Linked DNA regions of Macaca fascicularis. The protein of the gene in region 3 interacts with the protein of the main gene of each other region in a pairwise test. Links are inferred from orthologs where the notes say so. Each region holds a gene or a part of one and is shown on either strand. Other genes may lie near its edges. The genes, in order: FAM131C, C10H22orf39, GRN, SMAD9, OTX1, NLK and NUFIP2.

Region 1 (3,500 bases), on a different chromosome or scaffold from region 3:
CCACCCCCACCCACTGTTTCATCAGACTCCTCTCCCCCAGGGCCAGCAGGACTGTGTGCCTGGGCTGGGCACAAAGGATAGAGGGATGGGGATGTCAGCTGGGGCTGGCTAGACTAGGGGACACACAGTGCACTGACCTGCCAAGGATCCCAACAGAAATCCATCTGTTTGTCCTAAAACAAGAGGAGAGAGAGGATCAGGTAGGGCCTGGCACGCTGTCCTGGCAGATGGCCCGAGTCCTTCGGCCCTGGGCGGGGATGGGGGTCAGCCTTCTGGTGCTCCGTGAGGTCGGGGTCTGTCCTCTCATGGGTCATGCTCTGGTGTCCCCCGGCATGCAGAGTAAGAAGGGGGGGCAACAGTGGTGCTGGGAGGAGAGGCAGCGGGTGCAGCTTATAGAGCGGGCTTGGGTGTGGGCTCTGACTTTGCCAAACATGTCTCTTCCTCTGCAAAATGGTGGCAATGTCATTCACCTCACGAGTTGTGGTGAGGCCTAAATAACATAATGGAAGCTGAGAGCTGAGTGCGGTGCTTAGCAGGAGGGGTGTGCTGGTGGGGGGATGGTAATTACATCAACTGGTGGGTTCATGCCACAGACCCTAAGGCAAGGGTGGAAATTATGCACCAGAATTTGGGGTCCTTTGTGATCCTTAGTGACATCTTCTAAATCAATCTGGACTGAGAAACATATGTAAAATTTTAATATATATTATATATAAATTATATTCATATAAATTATATATAATATAGTATACAAAAATTATAATATACAATTTATATATAATATATAACATATTTATATATTATATATTTTTTATATTTATATTTTATATATACTTATATATTATATATTATATATTATATTTATATTTTATATATACTTATATATTATATATTTGTATTTTATATATACTTATATATTATATATTATATTTTATATATACTTATATATAATATAATAGATTTTTTAAATTATAATAGATAATTATATATATTACATAACATATATAACATTCGTGAGGCTGCTCAGGAATAGTGGGCTGGTAGCAGAATGTGTTGTCTGCAAGGCAGCGTTAATTTGTGCAGGAAGACCTTCAGGATGGACGGTCTTCTAAACAAGCCTGGTCCAGCCCCTGGATGCTCAGCCCAGTCCAGCCTCTCATGCTGCTGAATATCAGGCCTTAGGGCCCCTGGTCCCACAGGGAGAAGAGGGTTTGGCAGGGAAGGAAGGAGACTGGAATGGATTCTGCTCCCTGCGGGGAGCTGTAAGGGACAGGCCGGGAACTGGGGCACAGGCAGCACAGGGATGAGGAGCAACCAGTTACCTTGCCAGTGACAGGGTCTACAGCCATGGTGGGAGTGCGGCCCGAGGGCAGGTCTGGGTTCAAGGGGTCCGTGCCCTGGGGCATGGGGCAGTCCTTGTGGGCACTTGTGAACAGGTCTGGAAATAAGAGCAAGAGGAGGAACTCAGCAAAGCCCAGCTCTCTCTTGCTTACAAGGCGTGTTCAAGGCCCCCCCATAAGATGGGTGTGGCCTTATTTTTATCCAGCATCATTGTAGAGGAAGCCGACTCAAGTCCACAGCAGGGGAGGGGTCCAGCCAGATGCCCTCCTGCCTGTGCCCCTCAGCGGGAATCACTGGCCTCATCTTCTTTTTACCCCCTTTTCACAATTTCTAGCACCCACACTCCAGCATGTTTTTGGCCTCTTGGAGACGTTTAATCCATTTGCCCTGGTATTTCCCGACTAGCTCCTCTTTTGCTCCTGGCCCAGCTGACCCTCAGACACGGCCTCTGAGCTCTCTCTCGCAGACGCCCTTACCTCTCACCTGGGTTTAAGTCTGACCCTCTCGCCCTGTGCCTGGATCTGAGGAGCTAAATGTTGCTGGAGAGAGTGACTGCTACGTGCTAGATTGTAGCCCCAGCCTCCTGTGGGATGCTGCCCGGATCCTTCCCTGTTTCTCCATTTCCTGCTGCCTTTGTTTCCTGCCAGGCTGACAACTTCACCCCAACCTTCCTTCTCAGACATGAAACACACTCCCTCCCCTACCCCACACACTGCTGGGGGCTTCTGCCCCTCCCTCACTGGGTCCAGGATCCTTGGAAAGGTGTCACCTGGATCTTTCCACCCAAATCACCAGAGCCCGCCTGCACCTTTGCCCACATCGTCGCCTTTCCCTCCTGCAACAAAGGAAGAGCTGTTCCTGCTGCACCCAGGACCTTCTGGCCCATCCACCCAGGGCTGGGTCCTGCCCCTGCCCTCCCCTCAGGGGCTCTGCTCTCCCTCCTGTGGAGTTACTGCTCTCTCCACTCCGTCCGCCTTGAAGCATTCAGCCAGCACTGCATATGCTGCCATGCTTCTTGGGCTCTGGACCTTCTCCTGCATTCTCACTCCTCTGTCCCCTTACCACTGGGTGGGGCCATCAGCATCCCAGCATCTCCTGTCTTTTGAGAAGCTTGTGACCACTGTTTCCCTCCAGCGACTTAGCCGTTCCTTTGCTCCCTTCTCGCGATGTGCAGAGAGCTGTGTCCCACCTCTACTTCCTTGTCCTCCAGTTCTCCTCCACCCATTCCAAGCAGGCTTTCATGAGGCAGCCCTTGCCAAGCTGCCAGGAACCTCCATGGGGCCAACTACAGTGGGGGCCGCTCCAGCCTCTTCTTGGAGCTAGAGCTGTGCTGCCTGCCTGCCCTCTTGAGCCTCGCTCTTATCCTGGCCTCTGGCCTCTCTGGCTGCTGTCCTGGGTCCCCTCTGTGACTCCTCCCTGGCTCACCCCTGCCCATTGGCTGGCACCACACTTCCGTCCTGGCCCTTCACCACCCTCTCTCAGACCCAGGAGGCCTCACCTTCGTGTTTCCGCTGCCCACTGCCCATATGCACACCTCCAGCCCTGACTCCTCACTTGAGCTCCCAACTGAGTTTCCAGCTCTCTACATGGATGCCCAAGGGGCACCTCAAGCACACCTGGGCAAAAGAGGACTCCCAAATCCAGGTCTACCTTCCCCGGGTCCCCCACTGCACCAACTACAACCCTAGGAGTTTCTCAGGGTCCTGCCTTCCCCCATTCTCCCAGGGACCACCCAGTAAACCGGCAAATCCTATTAGCCCTCTCCTAGGTCTATCCCAGGTCTCCCCGCTCCCTTCTCCCAGGGCTCCCCTGCTGCAGGCATCCTCCCTCCCTAGAAGACAATGGTCCCTGCGCTCACTTGCTGCCCGCCAGCGGAGGGACTTTATGCTCTAGGCCAGATTGTATCACTGGGGTTAGGGGACCCTGTGGGTGCTGCCCCCAATTCCCCTGGATTCCTTTTTCCTGTTTTTGCCCCCATGCCCTGCATGGCTTCTAAGAGGCACCACCTGTGGCTCTTTCTACAGGGGCTGCCCTAGGTAAATTTCTGTTGGCCCCACCTGGAGCAGCCCCACGCCAATGACTGCCAGGTGCAGGACTCCTTTGTCTGGGATCAGAAAATTCCCCTTCACTTACCCTCCAGAGTACCCTGCAGGATGAGG
Region 2 (4,063 bases), on a different chromosome or scaffold from region 3:
TCTAGCTACTGTATCCCAATACAGACACGGGTCAGTGTATCACAACACGGGAGACCTTCGCTGTGGGCCCTTGGTAAGTATCAGGTGCTATGTGAGCCTCTTTACACAGATCATTTAATCTGTCTACGTCTGTCTTTGTTCAAGCTCTGTTGCCTCAAATAAAATATTTTGATCATGTTTAAAAAGCTATCAGAAATGTAGCACAGACTATTAAATATTCCCAAATGTCCATTCCCAATGTGGCAGTTAACAGCTTCCCTGATACCGTTTTTTGGTCCAAATTTTAGAGCTAACATGTTTCCCTAATGATGAGATAATCTTCTGCTGGCTAGTCTACTTCCTGCTTTTTTTTTCACTAAACAATACACTGTAGGCACTTTCCCACACCCAGGTAGATGACTGACTATTCCTTTCAAAGGCTATCCGGTATTTCACTTTGTGGAAAAAGCTAATTGGTCAAATGTCTATTAGTGAAATTTAGGTTGTTTTCAGCTTTTGCAGTATCAAAAACATAATTAGCATTCCGAACTTTTAACTGTACACTCTTATCCAATTACTTCCCTAGGATAAAGTTCCAGAAGTAAAACTTAAAGTCAAAAGGTATGCATCTGACATTTACATAATCAGAACACCCGACACCCCCACCAACACTGTACAACTACCCAGAATTCTTCAAACCCCCATCAACACTTAACGACTTTCTGCTGGGCAAAACCTGCTGTTACTGTCATTTAGACTTATATACCTGACACCTGGCCATTTGGTTTTTTTCTTTTTTGTTTGTGAGATGGAGTCTTACTGTACTGTTGGCCCAGGCTGAAGTGCAGTGACACGATCAACTCATTGCAACTTCTACCTCCCAGGTTTAAGCAATTCTCCTGTCTCAGCCTCCCGAGTAGCTGGGATTACAGGTGTGTGCCACCATCCGTGGCTAATTTTCATATTTTTAGTAGAGATCGAGTTTTGCCATGTTGCCAGGCTGGTCTCGAACTCCTGACCTCAGGTGATCTGCCCACCTTGGCCTCCCAAAGTGCTAGGATTACAGGCGTGAGCCAACCACGCCCAGGCTTTTTTTTTTTCTTTTTTATTATTTTTATAAAGATGGAGTCTTACCACGTTGCCCATGGCTGGTCTCAAGCTCCTGGGCTCAAGCGATCCCCTTGCCTTGGCCTCCCAAAGTGCTGAGATTACAGGTGCCCACCACCATGCCCACCTGGCTTTCTTTTTTAATGAATTGCTTCTTTGTGTCCTTTGGCCATTTTTCCATTCTGAAATAATCCCTATATTTCTTATTGATATATAAGAGCTCTTTATACACACACGCGCAGATATACATACATTAAAATTATCAATCTCTTGCTATACAGGCTGTCAGCTTTCTTACTTTTTTTGAGTTTCACATATTATGGAATAGTCATAATTTTCTTTTATACAGCAGTCTGGTTTCCACATCAGTTCATGTCTTTCAGATCACTGTATACACTTAACAATGTTGAAGTGTTGATCAGTCCCATTGATTCTCATTCCTTGGCACTCCCCATGAGCCTTGCACCTTTCGGCTGGCTTCTCTCCATCTCCTCTCTCACAAGGGGTCCACCGTAGGACTGTATATTCTAGACTACAGTGTGGGTGCCAGGAGGGCAGAGCCTCTTCTTATCACTCGTGCATCCCCAAGAGTACCCAATGTAGTACATATTTGCTGGATGAATAAACAACTAGAACCACCTCCTTACCGATCTCTCTGCTCCTGTAAAATACTCTCTACACCCTAGCAAACAGATTGAACTTTTTTCCTCTTTTTTTTTTTTTTTTCCTGAGACAGGTCTCCCTCTGTTGCCCAGGCTGGTGTGCAGTGGCGTGACCATAGCTCACTGCAGCTCTGAACTCCTGGGCTTAGGCGATCCTCCCACCTCACTCTCCCAAGTAGCTGGAACCACAGGTGCACGTCACCACACTTTGCTAACAGACTGATCTGTTAAAGATATAAATCGAATTATGCTTCCCAGCACACTTTAGACTAAACTCTGAACTCCGTATCAAGGCCCACCAGGTCCCTGGTATACCGCTTTCCAACCATCCACCTACCCTCTGCTTCAGGAACACAGGCCTTCTCTGTTTCTCAGCAGTGTCTACCGGGGCTGGATGAAGGCTGGCTCCTGGTCACCCAGGACTCAGCAACATCATATCCTGCGTAGGCCAGCTGATGACCCTAACATTGGACGGTTGCCCTCTTTGCTCTCTAAACCACTCTACACCCTCCTCGCTGGTCTCCTTAGTTGTCTTTCACGCCCCCTGAAAGTCCTGTTGATATGCTAATTTATACCAACTCTCAAAAGAAAGGAAGCGTGAGGAGGGTAGGGACCTTGACAGTTCTCGGCTAGGTCGCGGGGCCTGGGGCGTGAAGGGGTGGGGAAAGCTGGGCCCTGCAAGGCGCTCCGAAGCGCCGCCCCGCTCCCTCCCGGCGCACCTGGGCCTCGGCGCTCCGGCGCTTCTCCCAGTCGCGGCAGCTGGCCAGGTCGCGCCGCCACTGTTCGCAGGCCGGCCGCTCGCCGTGGACGTAGTAGTGGTGCAGGAAGTGCCTGGCGCTGCGGCAGAGCTTCCACTCGGCGCGGTAGGCCTCGCAGGGGCGCGGCGGCTGCGGCGAGAGGCGGCGCCTGAGTGGGGGCCGGCGGCCGCGCCCCACGCCCGGAGCCTGTCCCGTTCCCTCCCTCCGGAAGACCCTGGTGGTTCCCGGCTCCCGAGCACACTCACCTGCCAGCCGCTGCCGTCCGCCATGTCTGGGCGACCGGGGCGCCAAGCCAGCCCCTCAGTCCGCCAGCCAATGAAGAATGAAGAAAGCGGCACCTCGTGATCGACTGAAAGAATAACTAATAAGCACCGACACATTCAATTACAGTTTCGCCCCCATCTTAGAGAAGCTCGGACAAACAGGACGAGCAACCAATAGCAACCGAGGGCGGCTGCGGCGCGCGGAGGGCCAGGGTCGCAGGGTAAGTCCGGGACGAGGCCTGGCGCGGAGCCTACTCGGCCACCGCGAAGCCAGCGCCATTCACCCCGGGCCATGAGGGCATCCTGGGCCGCGCAGCTACCTTTTGCCAGTCGCCTCTAAAATCACACTGCTCTGGCCAGTTCTTTTTAGCAGCTTTATGAGATTTTCTCAAATCTCAACAATGCGGTTTATTTTCAAAAGTATGTACTGAGCATCAAGTTGGTGCAGCGAACCTCCCAGATCTGCAGCTCTGGCGGTCTTGTCTGAGCGTCCACTCAGGATGGAGGTGAACTCACAAAGTAACCAAGGTTGGTTGGGCATGACGTGTGGTGGATCTAGGGTTGGATGACCTGCCCAGGGAACGCAGGCTTGAAGTGGAGGCTGAGAAGGCAATCCGAGCACGGCCATAGGCCGGTCAAAGGCATGGAGGCGGTGTGTAGCACGGGTGAGTGGGGTAGGAGTGGCTTGGATGTCTGTAGCTCGATTCTAAGGGTGCGGGAGACATGTAACATTTACCTTATTTATTTTTCGAGACAGGGTCTTGCTGTGTCACCCAGGCTTACGTGCGACCTCGAACTCCAGGACTTTGAACAGCTGGGACCACAAGCATGCACCGCCTCACCAGGCTAATTTTTAGTTTTTTTTTTGTTTTTTTTTTTTTTTTTTTTTTTTTTTGGTAAAGATGTGGTCTTGCTAAGTTACTCAGGCTAGTTTGGCCTCAAGCGATCCTCTCACTTTGGCCTCCCAAAGTGCTAGGATTATAGGCTGAGCGACAACGCCTGGCTGCAACGTTTATAAAAAGGAGCAATGCACAAGAGGCAACAAAGGCAAGTAAAGGGGAAGCTGGTGGGCTTGCAGAAGTGCCCACTGGGACAGACTCCCTGGAGGTGGGTCAGAAAGCTGCAGTTTTACCACGGGTCCTGCTGTTGAGGCAGCTGGCTCAAGGACCAAGCCCAAAGAAGACACTGGGAGGAAGGCTGCAGGCCAGGGTGCAGGAGTAACGACCAGAATCAGTGCTCCAACTGGCCCCACTAAAAGGCCCTGGAATGGAATCCATCCTGGTCCAGGCAGGGG
Region 3 (2,883 bases):
GCATCCGGACACATGACTGAGCTGGACAAAGCCACTGGAAGAGAAGCAAGTGTGAGGGGCAGCCAGGGTGGAGGGAACTTTTTGCCACACTTGGAGTCAATGAGGCCCCACCCCAGCCCCTGGCCTGATGCTCTCCCACCTCCTCACCTGCCCTGTTACTCCTCTGGGCAGGGATCTTCTTTGCCAGTGGGTGGGTGCCCGTGGGTGTGATGCAGCGGGTGTGAACCAGGTCGCAGAAGGCACCATGCGGACAGCAGTGCACCCTGTCTTCACAGCAGGAAGCCTGAGAAAAAATGGTCCTGACTCCGTCTTCACCCCTTGCCCCTGGCCCCCACCCTCTGCCCCCACCTCCCTCCACGTACCCCCGTCTCCCCAGATTTGTACCTGGGGCATGGGGCAGCACCCCCAGGAGCCATCGACCATAACGCAGCACGTGGAGAGGTCCGGGCATTCAAAATGACTATCAGGGCACTGGACGGCACCCACGGAGTTGTTACCTGTGGACAAGGTGACCCGGGATTCTACCAGCCCACTCAGGGAAGGTGACTGCCCCATCGCGCACAGAGCTGGTGGCACCAGGGCCTGCAAGCCCAGCTACTGGGGTTTGGGGGTGACACTAGGGCTCAGTGATCTCCTAGGCATGCCTAACTCACCCTCCTCACAATCCAGTCCCTCCCTCAGCAAGATGGCATGGGGAAGGGGCACCCACTGATGATGGGTTGGCATTAGATCGGCTCAGCTTTACCTTTCCCCACCCCCACAATGCCTGGACTTGGAGTCTTGCACTTTCTCCTGCCCCTCCTATCCCCAGTGCTGCACCTCTGTCTACAGCAGGGGTGTTGCTTAGTACAGATGCCACATGAATGAGGGCACGAGGGCAGGAATCGGGGCTGCCCCGCCAGCTGGGCTCCTGGGTTCCAGGCTCTACATGCTGCCCGTCTGTCTGCCCTGCACCCACATCCCGGCTGCACCTGATCTTTGGAAGCAGGATTGCCCATCTGCACTGCAGTGGAAGCCCCGTGGGCAGCAGTGATGGCCATCCCCGCACGCCACGGCCTGTAGGACACAGAGAAACCGGCATTGGCAAGGCCCTTTTATCTGCAAGTGGGAGACTGCAGGAAAAGCATCAATGCAGACCTAAGCCCCTCCATCGGGCTGATGGCACGCTCACCTCTGGGAAGGGGCAGCAACGGGAAGTCCCTGAGACGGTGAGGATGCAGGAGTGGCCAGCAGAGCAGTGCGCACCAGCCTGGCAGGGGCCGCCCAGATGCCTGCTCAGTGTTGTGGGCCATTTGTCCTGGAAAGACAGGGGAAATGATACACCACAGACTTGTGCCTGGCATCCTCCTCTGGCCAATCCAAGATGACCCTCTGGGAAAACCTGCCAGCTTTTGCCTAGGCTGAGGGGCACTCACCAGAAGGGGACTGCAGCAGCTGTAGCTGGCTCCTCCGGGGTCCAGGCAGCAGGCCACAGGGCAGAACTGACCATCTGGGCACCATGTTCCAGCCACCAGCCCTACTGTTAAGGCCACCCAGCTCACCAGGGTCCACATGGTCTGCCTGCAAAGTACCAAGGAACATCTGGCAACTGCTTAAGCCCGTGCCACCCTTGATTCTAGGGCCACTCAGTACCCCAGTCCCAGGCCAAGGTCCTGGCCCGGGACTGCCTGAGCCTTCTCAACACCTCCCTGTCCAGGCAGGCAGAAAGCTGCAGGGGCTGAGCGTCAGCTTCCTACAGAGCCCTGTGTGTGACACATGCCCCAGCACGTGCAGACCTGTGAGCATGAATGCTGACATGCGTATATGTGTGGGCCTGAGTCCCCAGCACATGGTCTAATGCCTGGGCCTCACTGGGCAGGCTTATGAGAGTCACGAAGACGTGATTTTTTTTGGTCTGATCTGTGCAGATGTGGGCCACCTCTGGGGTGGGGGGGAAGGCATCAGTAGCCATGGGAGAGGACAGGGCTGGGGTGCAGGGAGGGAGGCCCCCCAGGAAAAGCCAGGGTTCCCCTCCAGATGCCTCCTTGCCTGACACTGTGTTCATACCTGCACCCCACTAAGGCCTTGCAGGAAGCGGCCACATGATGACATGGGAAACCACAGGGGTGAGAAAGTTGTGAAAAAGGAAGTATGGTGGCCAGTGGAATCTGGGCTGCCTTCCCCAGAGGCCAGTCACCACCTGGCCATGAATGTCCCCTCCTCACCCAGGGAAGGGGACACAGAAGGTGGGTCAGCCTTTGAGATACCTGTGTTCTGAGGGTACGCCACACCACCAGGGCTCTCTGAGATTCCCCAAGCATGCTAACCCCCACCCCTGCCTCTCCATCTATTCTGGAAGTAAAACCCAGCCACATGTGGAGAGAGACCACGTGTGCCCACTGGGCTGCCCATCTGAGTCACCAGGAGGAACTGAGCCTTGAGTTTCTGCGGAGAGCAGCCTCTCACTTCCTAAACAACTCTTCTCCCAGGCTCATCTAGCCCAGCTAGCTCAGTGGGGTGGCCAGAGAGGTAACTCGTCCTGAAGAAGCAAAAACAGTAATGTCTGTTGAGCCTCTTGGGAGCCAGTTACAAGACTCTGCATTATTTTATTTCTTTGCAACAACCATCCAAAGTAGTAATTAATACCTTTACTTTACTTTTATTTTTAGAGATGAGATATTGCTATGTTGCCCAGGCTGGACTCAAACTCCTGGGATCAAGCAGTCCTCCAACCTTGGCCTCCCAATTAGCTGGGACTTTGGGAGCGTGCCACCAAGCCTGCTCACCCTTTTTTTTTTTTTTTTTTTTTGAGATGGAGTCTTGCTCTGTTGCCCATGCTAGAGTTCAGTGGCATGATCTCGGCTCACTGTAACCTCCACCTCCCAGGTTCAAGCGATCCTCCTG
Region 4 (3,500 bases), on a different chromosome or scaffold from region 3:
AGCCGCCAACAAAACTTTTCTTGTCAAGATCAAAAAAGGCCTTCATATTGTAAAAATGAATTATTAGCTCTCAGCCTTTGTGTTACGTGGGTAGCATTTGATTTAGTTCATCACACCCTCTCATCAATGCACTGTTTTTTCTTGGCTTCCAAAGCACCACACTTCTTGGTCTTATTACTACTTCACTGGCTGGTCTCTCAGTTTTCTTTGCTGATTCTGTCCCTTCTGTCCCATCTTTAATGTTGAAGTGTCCCAGGGCTCGGTCCTGGAGCCCCCTTTCTTCTCTATTTTTATTTACTATTTATTATTATTATTATTACTTTTGAGACGGAATCTGGCTATCACACAGGCTGGAGTGCAATGGTGCGATCTCGGCTCACTGCAACCTCTGCCTCCCAGGTTCAAGTGATTCTCCTGCCTCAGCCTCCCAAGTAGCTGAGATTACAGGCATGCGCCACCACACCTGGATAATTTTTGTATTTTTAGTAGAGATGCGGTTTTGCCACGATGGCCAGGCTGGTCTTGAACTCCTGACCTCAAACAATCCACCCACCTTAGCCTCCCAAAGTGCTGAGATTACAGGCGTGAGCCACCACTCCTGGCCCTTCTGTTTAAACTCAAACCTTTGGTGTTCTCATCCAGACTTAGGGAGTTAAATACTGTCCCTTTGCTGACAATTCCCAAACTTGTATTTCGGGCCCAAATCTCTTTCCCCAAATCCAGACTCTTACATCGAACTGGCTACTCAGCAACTCCACTTGAATGTGGACAGACATCTCAATACACCTGCATCTTCATCTTGATTGAAGGCAACTAACTTCATCTTCCTCTTTTTCTCACCCCCACGCCTCATCCGCCTTCACAATTCAGAATCCTTCCACTTCTCACAGCTGTACTGGATCCCTCCAGGTGAGGGCGACTCTCATCTGAATATTGCAATAGCCTCCTAACTGGTTTCCCTACTTGCAACCTTGTCTGTGTAATACCTATCCTCCACACTGCAGGCAGGGCGATCCTTTAAGAACAGAAGTCAGATCATGAAAATGCTCTGCTCCGATCCCTGCAAAAGCTCGCCACCTCCTGAGAGCCACCGATAAACTCCAAGGAGTGGCTCAGGAGGCCTCGCTGTGGTTCCCTGCAGCTGCTCTCATCTCGCTCCCCCTGCTTATTAGGCCCCAGCCACACTGGCCTGCCTGCTCTTCAGAATTTCCAGGTGTACGCTGTTGCCTTGCTCTTCCCTCTGCTTCTACTCTTCCTCCAGAAGTCCCTGGGCCTAGCTCCATGTCTCCTTCCAGTCTCTGCTGACCTGTCACCTTTTCAGTGAGGCCCACCCTGATGTGCAGATGACTCCACTGCCCCCGTGCTCCAATTCCCTTCACCCTGCCCCACACTTTCTCTTTCCATCCTTCTTCTGTGTTATGGCTGTTGTGTATTATCTCTCTCTCCTTCCTAGAATATTGGTTCCCTGAGGGCAGAGATCTGTGAGTGAACATTGCTATGTCCCACACGCCTGGCTGCACATGGTAGGTGCTCAATAAATATTTGTTGACTGACTGAATGAGTCCTAGAATCGGTAAAAATCAGAGCTGAAAGAAACCTTAAAGAGATCTGATCCATTAGCCCAGTGGTAGCTACAGTTGCTCATCTCAAATGTTTAAAAAAATGATCTATAGTTATATTTACTATGTATTTATTTTAAAAGTTCCTGCAGTATTAGGAACAGGTTTGTCTTCTGTGTCAATTGTGTAGCTTTATGAATTTAAATGTTGCCTATCTGAGAAATGTATCTAGTTATCAGGAAAATCAGATTTGTATATAAGCTTATATTTAATTAGAGTGAAATAATTACCTATGAGATATTGGCATTTCATCCTAATTTTAAAAACACAGACCTGGAAAAAAAAAAACTGTATGATTCAAATGATGCCCTCTGCCGTTTCTAAAGCAACAGAACATTTAAAAAGATTTCCAAGTTATTTGTTAATATAACTTTATAATAGATGCTTTTAAAACACTAAATTTGGATGAAACTGCTTTGTCACCATGAAAGAGAAATAATTTCAAGCAGCTGTTTTTTAAAATTGGAAACTATATTGTTCTTAGTTTTTAAATAATTACTAAAATTATAAACAATAAAAACAAAATTTGAGTGTAGAAAAATTCTTTGTCATGGTAATTTTAAAGTGCTAATAAAATTTACTTTGAAAAAAATGCCTGGAACAAGCCATGCTGATTCCTTGGATGGAGGCATGGCAGTATGAAAACTCACACATACCCGGATACTTTGATGAGCCCAGATTTTGAAATATTAGACTGATTTGCGAGTACTTTGCAACAGATAAAATAGCAGGTGATGAAACTGAAGGCTTTTGCTTCCATATACAAACCCAGTTGTTTTTCCTTCCCACTAAGAAACTTCCTTGGTTCTCCAGCCTTCATAGCAACCCTAATAAGATTCGAGAAATTCAACAAATACTCATCAACAGAACATATACTACTCTCAGAATTAATCACACCCGCCTCATGTTTCTATTCCAGATTGTTTATACCTTTATAACACTACTTAATTTGCTGTCTTGTATTAGAACCAATCCTGCCTATTTTGTAGCTTATTCATAAATATTATCTCCTCCATGTGCCTGTATGCTTTCTAAGAGTAAGGAGAGTATCTTACTGAATTCAGATAAATTCGCCAACACTCACTGAGTGATAATAGTGCTTGGCAATTTGAAGGATGGAAAAATCTCTGTTGCACTAGTCCTGTAAAATTACTGTTGTTACTTTATCATCTGCATTAAAAACAGAGAGCCACCTTACTTGTTTTTCCTCAAAAGTAATGTGTAAGAATTTTCATATAATTGCTAAACAAGACAGTTTATACTCAAAGAGGAACTCCTCCTAAAAACAACAGAATTCAAAAAAATTGCTTTTGGGCTGGGCGCGGTGGCTCACACCTGTAATCCCAGCACTTTGGGAGGCCGAGGCAGACGGATCACAAGGCCAGAAGTTCAAGACCAGTCTGGCCAATATGGTGAAACCCTGTCTCTACTAAAAATACAGAAATTAGTCAAGCGTGGTAATGCACGCCTGTACTCCCAGCTAGTTGGGAGGCTGAGTTAGGAGAGTCGCTTGAATCCGGGAGGCGGAGGTTACAGTGAGCCAAGATTATGCCACTGCACTCCAGCCTGTGTGACAGAGTGAAACTCCGTCTCAAAAAAAAAAAAAAAAATTGGTTTTGTCTATCTGAATTGACCGCAGAACTGCCACATCAGTCAGGGTGCTTTTTTGTTTTGTTTTGTTTTTCACTGAACATTTTATAATGTGATAGCAAGCACTCCTTACCTTAACAAAACTCATCCGGATAGTGCACATCTTCGTCAGTTCATACACAACTTCAAAGCCGTGGTGAACTGACTGGGCCAGGAGCTGAGCGAAGAGCTGGTTGTTGAAGACCTTGAGGCTGCAGCCGCTGGGGATCTTGCAGACGGTGGCTGGGTGGA
Region 5 (4,298 bases), on a different chromosome or scaffold from region 3:
GCTAAAGAACCCCGGGTTTGGCTCAGGTCGTCCTCTACAGCAGTGCAAAAACGGATGCAGGACATCAATTTAGAGGACAATTTAATTAGGAAGGAAGAATACTCCTTCAGTCCAGCCTGCCGCTTCGCATAAGGAAAGTTTGGCTCTTTCTGTCAGGGCCTAACGAGTGTCCAGATTACTCATTCCATGTTGGGGGAAAAGGAAAAACACTAGCCGCCCCTGGGTAGCGAATCCGCAGGTAAATGAGCTCTGCGCTGGTGGTGGGACCACAACAGGAGAAAGGTTGCCGGTGACCCGGCCAGGAAGGCGCACATTGCGCGTTTTCTCAGCCCTGGCCACCTCACATGCCCACGACTCTGCCCCGTGCGCCAGCAGTGGGCCCTGTATTGTAAACAGGCAGTGGGCCCTGTATTGCAATAGCTGACTCCCTGGGCCTGCTCGGCAACAAAGCTTGCACTCAAACCCAACAGTCTGGGGGGCCCCAACATTGGAGAGGCTGAAGCAGGGTCGGGAGGGCTGGTGCTCACCCGGATAGCCCACGGATGGGTGCAGGAGGTCCATGGCGGGCCCAGCCAGGCCCAGCCCGTTCATGCCGTATGGGGGTTGTTTGAGGTAAGACATCATGCTAACAGCTGGGTGGAGGCGCCCCGACGGATCCAGGGGACCTGGGGCCAGAAGCGGTGCAGGGCTCCCACCGCAGTCCTTCAGGGTCTGATGCGTCTGGGGGCCTGGCCTATGAAGACACGAGACACACGGAAACCATCAATCGGAGCCACTTGGCTGCCAAGTCTTGCCCCGGGATAGACAGGGAAGGCAGGTTACAGAACTGCGCAGGGTGGTCAACTGGAATCCACAAGGCCTTAGCCCAGAAACCACAGTTGCTTTGAAAAGTAAAGTTTTCTGGGTCGTCTGGCTCCAGCGTTGGAATGAGCCAAAGACACTGGTAGGGAGTCCATAGGAGTAAGGAGAAGTCAAAGCCAGGCCAGGCTGGGGAGGTCAGAGCAAGAACCGCGGAGTGTGCAAGCTCCCAAGTCCAGGCAAAATTCTGAATCCGGCAGAAGCCAGCTTCATGTTGCACAAGCAAACGTTCACTTGGTGCCCGGACGGCAGGCCTCCCGGAGCATGAGGGGTTGTTTCATTTTGTTTCACGTGTTTTTGAAAAGGTAGAGACTACAAAGGGCCAAGGTGAGGCAATGTGGAGGGCTAACCGCACCTCAACCTCTTGTCCACTTAGGACACTTGGTTCCTTCAAAGGTCTCCAGGGCTGCGCCCCTGCCCCAGAGCCCGCAATCACCATTCCAGCTGACCTCTCTGTGCCCAGCCACTGAAAGATCGCTGACGCGAAATCCCACCACACCTCAACCGCAGTAACCGGCCCAGGCCTCGCAGAGGGCCAGGGGACGCCGAAGAGGCCACTGTAGAGGGGGGCGACCCCAAGACGCGGCCTGAGGTCGGGAGCGTCTCAGCTGCGGCCAGCGTCCTTCGTTGCCAGCGCGCACCCGGCCTTCTCTGTCCAGTCTGTGCTGCGGACCACAGGGTCCCAGCAGGGGGTGAAGGGTGACTGACCTAGCACCTCAAAGGGTCTCGGGGATTTGCAAAGCCGGAGGGCAGCAAGTCCCGTGCTGTCATCCTTGTAGCTGAACCCGCGGCCCCAGGACACGGTCGAGAACAGAGAAGTAGGCCTCAGCGGCATAGCCCACGCAGACCCGAGCTGGGAGGTGGAAGCCTCGCCCCCGCCGCTGCCGGGAACCCGGGGCGGCACTCTCAGGGGTCAGGGAGGGGCGCTGGAAACTGGGCCTGGGGCTCTGGGGGGCCATTGCTACACCCCGCTTAGCGGGATCGCTGTGAAGCAGGCCAGGGACTCGGGCTAGGACGTTCAGGGAGAGAAGTTAGAGCTAAAGAAGCTCCCCCCTGCCCCGTTCCCACCCCGGTCTTCTGGGATCCAAGACCTGGGCTGAGGGAGTCCAGCTTGTAGGAAGGGGACGAGAAGAGAAGCAGCCAGGGCTCTAGGGCCGAAGAAAAATGGGACTCAAAGCTGCGACGGCTTTGCGAAGCTGCAGCGTGAGTTTTCAAAGACTTTCTCCAAACTTAGCACTTCAGCTTGGTTACTTCGGAGGAGGCGGGGGAGGGAGCGGCGGGCCGCGACAGCGCCCCGGGGTCCTCGGCTCACCAAGAGGGGAGCTAGGCCGCTCCCCCAGCCCCGCCCACCTGCTGGTGACCGGGGAAGTGGGGATCCATTTGAGGAGGGGGAGGTAAGGGTAACCAACGCGCTCCCGGAGTCCGGGATGGTCCCGCGGCTTTCTCCTTACCTGCCCTCAGCTGCCGGGGACGTTCACCATCTACCTGGATCTCTCACAGAGACCCGCCGGGCAGCCAACCTGCAAAACAGAGCGGCACAGGAATTACCCCGGCGGCTGGTCTAGGACCCCGGGTTTCTTTCTTTTCCCAACTTCCTTCCTCCCACCTCTATCTTTTTTTTTCAGTGGCTTTGTGCGTGTCCCTCTGGGTTTCACTTTATTGCACAGACACTTTGTTTGCTAAGCCCCACACGTTCTCAGGCAGGACATTGCCTCGCCCGGAATCGCGCCGAGGGGCCGCAAGGGGGGGAATTCGAGGGCAGAGTTGGGAGGTGGCTCGGCGTTACCGCGGCACTCCCGGTGCAACGTGGAGGCAGTGGGGACTGGGAAGTCCTGCAGAGTCACTTTGCAAACTAAATAAATCAAGCGATTTACCTTGTCGGAGTGGCTTGTCTTGCTCGGTTGTTTAGGTGATTGGAAATGTAGCCTGATGAAGATTGATCACCTTTCTACTGCCCTCCCCGGGTATGTGAACGCGAGGCGAGTGCGTAACGGGGCTAGGCCGCCAATCGGGGGCCCCGCGCGGGCTGAGTGACAGGGAGCCGGGCAATGGCAGCGCGAGCCGGGGGTTACCTCCGCGCGCCCCCGCCCTCCCCCGCCCCCCACACCCCGCCCTCCCCTCCCGCCCGCCCCGCCCCGGTCGCGCGCTAACTCCGGGACTCGGCTGGCAAAAGCGGCTCAGAGCTAGGCGAGGAAGGCGAGCGGAGAGCCCGAGTCCTGGCCGCGGAGGGGGCCGCGGGTCTCCAGGCCTTCCCTGGGCGCCCCCGCCCTTCTCTCGCGCTCTCGGCGCTCCGGAGGGAGTGGCAGAGACGAGGAGAGGTGCTGGAGAACCGGTTCCTTCGCTCTCCTGCGCGCCACCGGGCTCAGCCGCCCGGGTGTGGGCGCCAGGACCCGGGGGCGGCGGGCTGGAGGAGCCCGGGCCTCGGCCCCTCTCCTGGCGCCGCGGGCCCCAGCGTTTTCTTCCTCTGCACCGCCACCTGAGACCGACGCCGCGGGCGGCTCGTGCCGGCGCAGGCTACTTTGCAGAGCGCGGGAGCAGCTCCGGGCGTGCAGATCTCTCCTCGGCGCCTCGGGACTCTCGCGCCTGGGAAGAGCACCCACTGGGAGGGCACAGCCACTTACCTGCTCATCGGCATCTCCCGGGGTTCCCGGTCCCCACCAAGGGTGTTTGCAAGCCTTAAGCGCTTCTTCTGAAACGTTGGAGCCCAGCGTCCTCTTGCCCTCACATGTACACCCTACTTCTTAATTCAAACATTTTGATAGGAAAGTTTCTTTTTCATTCTTTCTCTCTCTTTCCTAGTCTGCCTCTAACAGGGACTTTTTGATGGAAAATGTGGCCACAGACCCCTGCCCTCAACTTTTTTCCACATGCTGCGTAAGGAGCCTCCTTGAGGCGATTTCCCCGGATTGTTCGTACGGGCGAAGCCCATTTCCCAGTGGAACAAACTTCCCAAACACGTCTGCCTGGGTGGACTTTTAAAAGTGCAAAAAAGAGTTTTCGTTCCAACTCTGAGCTAGGAGAATCTTTTAAATGGCACCTCCTTCTGAAAATTAGGCACTTTATTCCCTTTCGAGGAATTTCTACCCCTTGTTTCTAATCTCCCCACTCCCCCACCCCGACAGGCGGGGTAAAAAGTTTGCACAGGAGTAAGTGTGAGGGCGAGTCAAGGAGCCTCCAGGCGCATCGCAGTGGGGAGCACCCGTGCTGCCCAGGCTGCGGGGTCGGGCGCGGAGAGCAGACAGGGCGCTGGGTGAGGAGGAGGAGAAGGAAGGGGGAGCCCGCTGAGTGAAAAGGGGCCGCGGCCGCCGCTCATCAAAGTGCTTCCCCCTCCCCCAAGCGACACTTTCCTTTGGAGTCCGAATAAAATACGGTAACAGAATATGATGGAGGGCACACTGTTTCCTTAACTGCTTCTCAAAGGACCCGGGAGATCTTCTTAG
Region 6 (3,500 bases), about 32 Mb from region 3:
CAATATGGTTAAACCCCTTCTCTACTAAATATACAAAAAAAAAAAAAAAAAATAGCCAGGTGTGGTGGCGGGCACCTGTAGTCCCAGCTATTTGGGAGGCTGAGGCAGGAGAATCCCTTGAACCCGGGAAGCGGAGGTTGCAGTGAGCTGAGATTGTGCCTCCAGCCTGGGTGACAGAGTAAGACTCCGTCTCAAAAAAAAAGTTTCAAAGTTCAGTGCCCTATCAAGGTTTTGATGTTTTGTTTTACTCTTTCATTTGTATTTGCTTGACAATGTTTTGACTGCCTTTTCTGTTTAGATTTGTGATTTTGGATTGGCCAGAGTGGAAGAATTAGATGAATCCCGTCATATGACTCAGGAAGTTGTTACTCAGTATTACCGGGCTCCGGAAATCCTGATGGGCAGCCGTCATTACAGCAATGCTATTGACATCTGGTCTGTGGGATGTATCTTTGCAGAACTACTAGGACGAAGAATATTGTTTCAGGCACAGAGTCCCATTCAGCAGGTATGATTTCAATTTAAGGCTTTAGTTTCAATTCTATTACAGATTTGAAGGAAAAATCCATCCTGCACATGTGTCTTGGGCTTATTCATTATACTGTCTAATTTGCTTTTAGGAAATTCAGGTTCACTTAAAATTTAGAAAGTTATAAAAGTTGAAGATTACAGAGAGATTCATTTTGTAACTTATGAGCCTTTAGAGTGTGTATTGACTTTATTTATTTATTATAATTATTATTTTATTTATTTATTTATTTTTTGAGACAGAGTTTTGCTCTTGTGGCCCAGGCTGGAGTGCAATGGTGCCATCTTGGCTCACTGCAACCTCCACCTGCCAGGGTCAAGCGATTCTCCTGCCTCAGCCTCCCAAGTAGCTGAGATTACAGGCGCGCTCCACCACACCTGGCTAGTTTTTGTATTTTTAGTAGAGACAGGATTTTGCCGTGTTGGCCAGGCTGGTCTCGAACTCCTGACCTCAGGTGATCCACCTGCCTCAGCCTCCCAAAGTGCTGGGATTACAAGCATGAGCCACCGCACCCGGCCTGTTGACATTATTATATGCACTGATGCATAGCCGCGAGCTCTGCTGTGACAATTTGCACAGGCATAATCTTCAGTTGTTAGAAGGCCTCTTTTCCTTCTAAGTGAATGGCTCTGACTTGAAAATGTATTGGTGACTTAATGTACTTACACTTTGTGCTTAGAATGTAAATTTTTATTGTGTTGATTTCTTGAAATCTGAACATTTAGGAAAATTTCTAACTTTTATTATTGGACTAAAATATCTAAATATGGCAGAGAACATCAGGAGATGATTAAAATATACTCTCAGAGAATCCTTTAGAAGCTACTTTGTTAGCTACATGTTACTTTAATTGTCTTTAAAGGTAATTATTCACTACTACGCATATTTTCTTGGGATAATTACTAGGTATTTTTATTAATTCGCTTGCATGAAAATAATGTAGTAACCATGAGCTCAGATTGGTGGGTTCAAATCCTAGCTACACCACTTATGTTAAATCTTGAGTAAGTTACTTAACCTCTCTCTTCCTTTTTTTTTTCTTCTTCTATTTTTTTTTTTTGGTTTTTTGGCCCCTAAAACTGTTCTGAGGATTATTGTACAATGAAGCAGGAAAGCTGAAAATGGGGCCTGGCACATAGTAAGCACTCTGTAAATGTTTGCAATTATGATAGTGGTAGTAGTGTGCCAGGACGCTGGGGATACAGCAGTAAATAAGACAGCGTTGTTCTTAACCTTTGTGAAACTTTCACATGAGACAAAAATAAGTATGCAAATAAATATGATCCCAAGTAATGGAAGTTCCATAAAGAAAAATGTAGCCAGGTTAGGGATAGAGAATGGTGGCAGAGCAGAGCAGGCACTAAAGGATTCTCTGAGGAGATAACATTTCACCCACATAAAATGAGGCAGCAAGATGCTGAAGAAGTTACAAGAAGAGGGACAACCACCATAACAAAGCCCCTGAGGCAGAAACAAGCATGGCATGTTGGAGGGATGGCATGTGATGGAAGACGCTGTAGGAGATGAGGTCAGAAAGTGAGAAAGAACCTGGCCATGATGACATGATAAGGCCTTAAGATTTTATTCCAAGTGTGATAGAAAACGTAAATGAAGGTTTTGACCATAGGAATATTAAGATTTGATTAATGACATTTTAAAAGATCACACTGACTACTGTGTCTTTGTAAATAATTCATGCACTTGACCAAACAGAATTATTTCTTTTATGCTTTTTCTACAAAGAATTTTTACCTAATAGGTTAGAAACTATATCTGCTTTTATCAACATTTAAATTTTTCTATGCTATACATTCAAACTGTCTTTTTTACATTTTACATCTTAAAAATTGATTCTGGTGTTAAAAAATTATGTACATATAATATGTCATCTAATGTTGGGTACTATTGACAATATTCACTTTTCAATTTCTTTAGAAAGTAAAGTTTAACAGACTTAACCTATAAGACTCTCATATCTGGACATAAGCTGTCATAAAATGAATGTGACTACTACCTTGCATACAGAAAAGCTTAAGTAAAAAATAATAATGAGGTATTCAAATCCTATATATGGAACAAGAATCTTGAATTGCTGCTGCAAAAAATATGTGAGGGAAAGTGTGAAGCAACTGGACTGGAGTTCAGATATCTCATTTGCTAGAGAAATACATAGATCTTCAGTTTGGCAGTCTGACATAGCCACTACAGGAGAATTCATGTCTGTCTAATTGTTGGTGTGTGCTGGGGTGAGAAATGAAGATCTAAAATAGGAAAAGGCTCTAACTTCTAATGGAAGTCATTATTTCCTGTTGTATTTTCTCTGTATCTTTGAGATTTAATTACCCAATACTAACAGACATCATAAAAGTGTTTCTCATCTATGGATCTGACCCATTTTAGACAACTTTCTGAATGTTTCAATTTGTTTTTAGAAGCTAGTCATTTCCTTCTGCCTTTAGTGTGGTTATTAGAGATCCAAAAGTATCACCTACGTACTTTTCCCAAAAAGCTTTGTATAGAGATCTTTACTTCTGTGGAAAGCAAGCTTCTCAAGTTTCTCCATTAACCTGTAGGGTGGTGATGCTGATGGCTACCCCATGGTTTAGATAAATAGTGCTTTATATTCGGCATGCCCAGAACCAGGAAAAGAAGTGTTCTCTAGGTAAGAATTTCCCATCCTGGAGGAATCCAAATGAAATGTTACTGATAATTAGTTATGAAGTTAGAACAATTGTGACACTACAGAAAATTGGTAAGATAGTTTGCTACCCAAAGACTTGTTTGCAAGAAGACTGTTTTATTGGTCTCTTTTATTGTGTCCAGCTGACTAAATGCGGTCTTATGCAGTGTCATATTTTCTAAGTATCACAGTTTTCTGGCAGTGTAAGAGATTTCTAGCATGACTAGAATGTAAAGGATGTACACTGGCCCAAGCATGGAGAGCTTAGCTTTCATTTCAGGTGTGAATGTT
Region 7 (3,500 bases), about 31 Mb from region 3:
CAGTGAACTGAGATCATGCCACTGCACTCCAGCCTGGGCGACAGAGCGAGACTCTGTCTCAAAAAAAAGAAAATTTTATAACAGCCTTGTGAGAGTGATGGGTAGATTGATTTTGTTAGATGAGAGGTATTTGGCATACTGCTTAAGAGGTCTTTTTTTCTGGCCTCAGACTTTGCTTTGAATTTTGGCTCAGTTCTACCTCTTGCTTTGCTTAGCAGTAGATTGCATTTCCTAGTCTGTGAAATGGGGCTGACAAGTGTCTTCTCATAGAGATGTGAAATAATATAAAGCTACAGTTCATAGCATAGTGTCTAGCATACAGTAAATAAACATTTCTTAAATGTTAGGTATTAGTGTAATTTACATGTTGTGATTTTTTTTTTTTTAATAAACCGTTTTTTTCCCTCCCCTAGGCTATGGTGAACTAAACGGTAATGCTGGAGAAAGAGAAATCTCTTTAAAGAACCTGAGTTCTGATGAAGCCACCAACCCTATTTCCAGGGTCCTCAATGGCAACCAGCAAATTGTAGACACTAGCCTGAAGCAGACTGTAAAGGCCAACACCTTTGGGAAAGCAGGAATTAAAACCAAGAATTACATTCAGAAAAACAGTATGGACAAAAAGAATGGAAAGTCTTATGAAAATAAATCTGGAGAGAACCAGTCTGTAGATAAGTCTGATACTATACCAATTCCAAATGGTGTGGTAACAAATAATTCTGGCTATATTACTAATGGTTATATGGGTAAAGGAGCAGATAATGATGGTAGTGGATCTGAGAGTGGATATACAACTCCTAAAAAAAGGAAAGCTAGGCGCAATAGTGCTAAGGGTTGTGAAAACCTTAATATAGTACAGGACAAAATAATGCAACAAGAGACCACTGTCCCAACCTTAAAACAGGGACTTGAAACTTTCAAGCCTGACTATAGTGAACAAAAGGGAAATCGAGTAGATGGTTCGAAGCCCATTTGGAAGTATGAAACTGGGCCTGGAGGAACAAGTCGAGGAAAACCTGCTGTGGGTGATATGCTTCGGAAAAGCTCAGATAGTAAACCTGGTGTGAGCAGCAAAAAGTTTGATGATCGGCCCAAAGGAAAGCATGCTTCAGCTGTTGCCTCCAAAGAGGACTCATGGACCCTATTTAAACCACCCCCAGTTTTTCCAGTGGACAATAGCAGTGCTAAAATAGTTCCTAAAATAAGTTATGCAAGCAAAGTTAAGGAAAACCTCAACAAAACTATACAAAACTCTTCTGTGTCACCAACTTCATCTTCATCATCATCATCATCTACTGGGGAAACTCAGACCCAGTCATCAAGTCGCTTGTCCCAGGTCCCTATGTCAGCGCTGAAATCTGTTACTTCTGCCAACTTTTCTAATGGGCCTGTTTTAGCAGGAACTGATGCAAATGTTTATCCTCCAGGGGGTCAGCCACTGCTAACTACTGCTGCTAATACTCTAACACCCGTCTCTTCTGGGACAGATTCAGTTCTCCAGGACATGAGTCTAACTTCAGCAGCTGTTGAACAAATTAAGACTAGCCTTTTTATCTATCCTTCAAATATGCAAACTATGCTGTTGAGCACAGCACAAGTGGATCTGCCCTCTCAGACAGATCAGCAAAACCTGGGGGATATCTTCCAGAATCAGTGGGGTTTATCATTTATAAATGAGCCCAGTGCTGGCCCTGAGACTGTTATTGGGAAGTCATCAGAGCATAAAGTGATGGAGGTGACATTTCAAGGAGAATATCCTGCCACTTTGGTTTCACAGGGTGCTGAAATAATTCCCTCAGGAACTGAGCATCCTGTGTTTCCCAAGGCTTATGAGCTGGAGAAACGGACTAGTCCTCAAGTTCTGGGTAGCATTCTAAAATCTGGGACTACTAGTGAGAGTGGAGCCTTATCCTTGGAACCCAGTCATATAGGTGACCTGCAGAAAGCAGACACCAGTAGTCAAGGTGCTTTAGTGTTTCTCTCAAAGGACTACGAGATAGAAAATCAAAATCCTCTGGCCTCTCCTACGAACACTTTGTTAGGCTCTGCCAAAGAACAGAGATACCAGAGAGGCCTAGAAAGGAATGATAGCTGGGGTTCATTTGACCTGAGGGCTGCTATTGTATATCACACTAAAGGTAACTCATTTGTTTCCTATGCAAAGATTTTTATTGGCCAATTTAGTATATTTATATTAAGAATTTTAAGAGAATTAGTTGTTCATATTAAGAGTATTTTAAGAGAATGACAATGTGGATAAGCAACTAACATCAAACTGATTCAGGGTCTTTGGAACTAGTATGATTAAAACTTAGAAGAAATGTTCACTTTTCCAACTTAAAATGGTTTTTAAAAATACAAACATAATTGATCTACCTGGTTCAAAGAAGTGAGGAGAACTTGCTTAAAGGTGTTGATGTTATATTTTCTTTTGACCGAGTGCTTTAAAAAAAATTTTATTGAACATATGTTCTCTTTCCTTTGCTTTTTTGTTTCTCCTTTGCTTGTTTGTTTGTTTTTTCTTTGAGAGGGAGTCTCACTCTGTTGCCAGGCTGGAGTGCAGTGGTGTAATCCCGGCTCACTGCAACCTCCACCTCCCAGGTTCAAGCGATTCTCCTTCCTCAGTCTCCTGAGTCGCTGAGATTACAGGCACGTGTCACCACGCCCGGCTAGTTTTTGTATTTTTAGTAGAGATGGGGTTTCACCGTGTTGGCAGGATGGTCTCAATCTCTTGACCTTGTGATCCACCTGCCTTGGCCTCCCAAAGTGCTGGGATTACAGGTGTGAGCCACCGCGCCCAGCTTCTTGTTTGTTTTTGAGACGGAGTCTTTCTTGCCCAGGCTGGAGTGCAGTGGTGGGATCTCGGCTCACCGCAGCCTCTGCCTCCTGGGTTCAAGTGATTTTCCTGCCTCAGCCTCCCGAGTAGCTGGGATTACAGCCATGTGCCACCATGCCCAGCTTATTTTTGTATTTTTAGGAGAGACTGGTTTCACCATGGTGGCCAGGCTGGTCTCAAACTCCTGACCTCGTGATCTGCCTCCCTCTGCTTCCCAAAGTGCTGGGATTACAGGTGTGAGCCACTGCGCCCAGCTTCTCCTTTGCTTTTTGTATCATATGCTTCTTTATTAGTGAGCTCATTTAGTAGTTCTAATTTGCTTAAAATGAGTAGAAGCACTATTTTTGAAGAGGAGTCTGATAAGTCTTAAAAGGAGTAATGGATGCCAATTTGTAACTAGAAAATAAGTTAGACAAATTACAATGTCAAGCATGATAAGCATAGTCAAGACCAGGCTCTTGGGAGTCTCCTTTTTATAGCCCCAAAGCCCAAGTTTAAAGGGAACGAGATATCTTTCAAGTTTCACGCTAGTAACTCTCTTTCTTTTCTTTTTTTTTTTTTGAGATGGAGTCTCTTGTCGCCCAGGCTGGAGTTCGGTGGCGTGATCTTGACTCACTGCAACCTCTGCCTCCCGGGTTCAAGCGATTCTCCTGCCTCAGCCTCG

What was found.
Region 1: the proteins of GRN (region 3) and FAM131C interact in binary tests that used the Homo sapiens proteins (3 or more experiments, as listed by UniProt). The link is inferred for Macaca fascicularis from reciprocal best matches to the Homo sapiens genes GRN and FAM131C.
Region 2: the proteins of GRN (region 3) and C10H22orf39 interact in binary tests that used the Homo sapiens proteins (3 or more experiments, as listed by UniProt). The link is inferred for Macaca fascicularis from reciprocal best matches to the Homo sapiens genes GRN and C22orf39.
Region 4: the proteins of GRN (region 3) and SMAD9 interact in binary tests that used the Homo sapiens proteins (3 or more experiments, as listed by UniProt). The link is inferred for Macaca fascicularis from reciprocal best matches to the Homo sapiens genes GRN and SMAD9.
Region 5: the proteins of GRN (region 3) and OTX1 interact in binary tests that used the Homo sapiens proteins (3 or more experiments, as listed by UniProt). The two-hybrid records come from large-scale screens. The link is inferred for Macaca fascicularis from reciprocal best matches to the Homo sapiens genes GRN and OTX1.
Region 6: the proteins of GRN (region 3) and NLK interact in binary tests that used the Homo sapiens proteins (3 or more experiments, as listed by UniProt). The two-hybrid records come from large-scale screens. The link is inferred for Macaca fascicularis from reciprocal best matches to the Homo sapiens genes GRN and NLK.
Region 7: the proteins of GRN (region 3) and NUFIP2 interact in binary tests that used the Homo sapiens proteins (3 or more experiments, as listed by UniProt). The link is inferred for Macaca fascicularis from reciprocal best matches to the Homo sapiens genes GRN and NUFIP2.

What each region holds. Positions count from the first base shown.
Region 1 is NC_088375.1:219,039,419-219,042,918, reverse strand, and holds part of FAM131C (protein FAM131C), read right to left. Parts: intron 1,439-3,500; coding exon 1,323-1,438; intron 174-1,322; coding exon 138-173; intron 1-137.
Region 2 is NC_088384.1:33,400,944-33,405,006, reverse strand, and holds the start of C10H22orf39 (synaptic plasticity regulator PANTS), read right to left. Parts: upstream 2,801-4,063; 5' UTR 2,776-2,800; coding exon 2,752-2,775; intron 2,636-2,751; coding exon 2,468-2,635; exon of another isoform or gene 2,086-2,467; intron 1-2,085. UniProt on the Homo sapiens protein: Negatively regulates long-term potentiation and modulates adult synaptic plasticity. Stabilizes the interaction of RTN4 isoform A/Nogo-A with its receptors, inhibiting clustering of postsynaptic AMPA receptors at synaptic sites.
Region 3 is NC_088390.1:65,410,746-65,413,628, reverse strand, and holds part of GRN (progranulin), read right to left. Parts: intron 1,561-2,883; 5' UTR 1,554-1,560; coding exon 1,416-1,553; intron 1,298-1,415; coding exon 1,172-1,297; intron 1,057-1,171; coding exon 972-1,056; intron 498-971; coding exon 385-497; intron 284-384; coding exon 148-283; intron 35-147; coding exon 1-34. UniProt on the Homo sapiens protein: Secreted protein that acts as a key regulator of lysosomal function and as a growth factor involved in inflammation, wound healing and cell proliferation. Regulates protein trafficking to lysosomes, and also the activity of lysosomal enzymes.
Region 4 is NC_088391.1:16,402,204-16,405,703, forward strand, and holds part of SMAD9 (mothers against decapentaplegic homolog 9), read right to left. Parts: coding exon 3,343-3,500; intron 2,447-3,342; coding exon of another isoform or gene 2,408-2,446; exon of another isoform or gene 2,271-2,407; intron 1-2,270. UniProt on the Homo sapiens protein: Transcriptional modulator activated by BMP (bone morphogenetic proteins) type 1 receptor kinase. SMAD9 is a receptor-regulated SMAD (R-SMAD).
Region 5 is NC_088387.1:58,901,118-58,905,415, forward strand, and holds the start of OTX1 (homeobox protein OTX1), read right to left. Parts: upstream 2,801-4,298; 5' UTR 2,733-2,800; intron 2,379-2,732; 5' UTR 2,310-2,378; intron 734-2,309; 5' UTR 625-733; coding exon 528-624; intron 1-527. UniProt on the Homo sapiens protein: Probably plays a role in the development of the brain and the sense organs. Can bind to the BCD target sequence (BTS): 5'-TCTAATCCC-3'.
Region 6 is NC_088390.1:33,624,123-33,627,622, forward strand, and holds part of NLK (serine/threonine-protein kinase NLK), read left to right. Parts: intron 1-298; coding exon 299-508; intron 509-3,500. UniProt on the Homo sapiens protein: Serine/threonine-protein kinase that regulates a number of transcription factors with key roles in cell fate determination. Positive effector of the non-canonical Wnt signaling pathway, acting downstream of WNT5A, MAP3K7/TAK1 and HIPK2.
Region 7 is NC_088390.1:34,772,674-34,776,173, reverse strand, and holds part of NUFIP2 (FMR1-interacting protein NUFIP2), read left to right. Parts: intron 1-413; coding exon 414-2,138; intron 2,139-3,500. UniProt on the Homo sapiens protein: Binds RNA.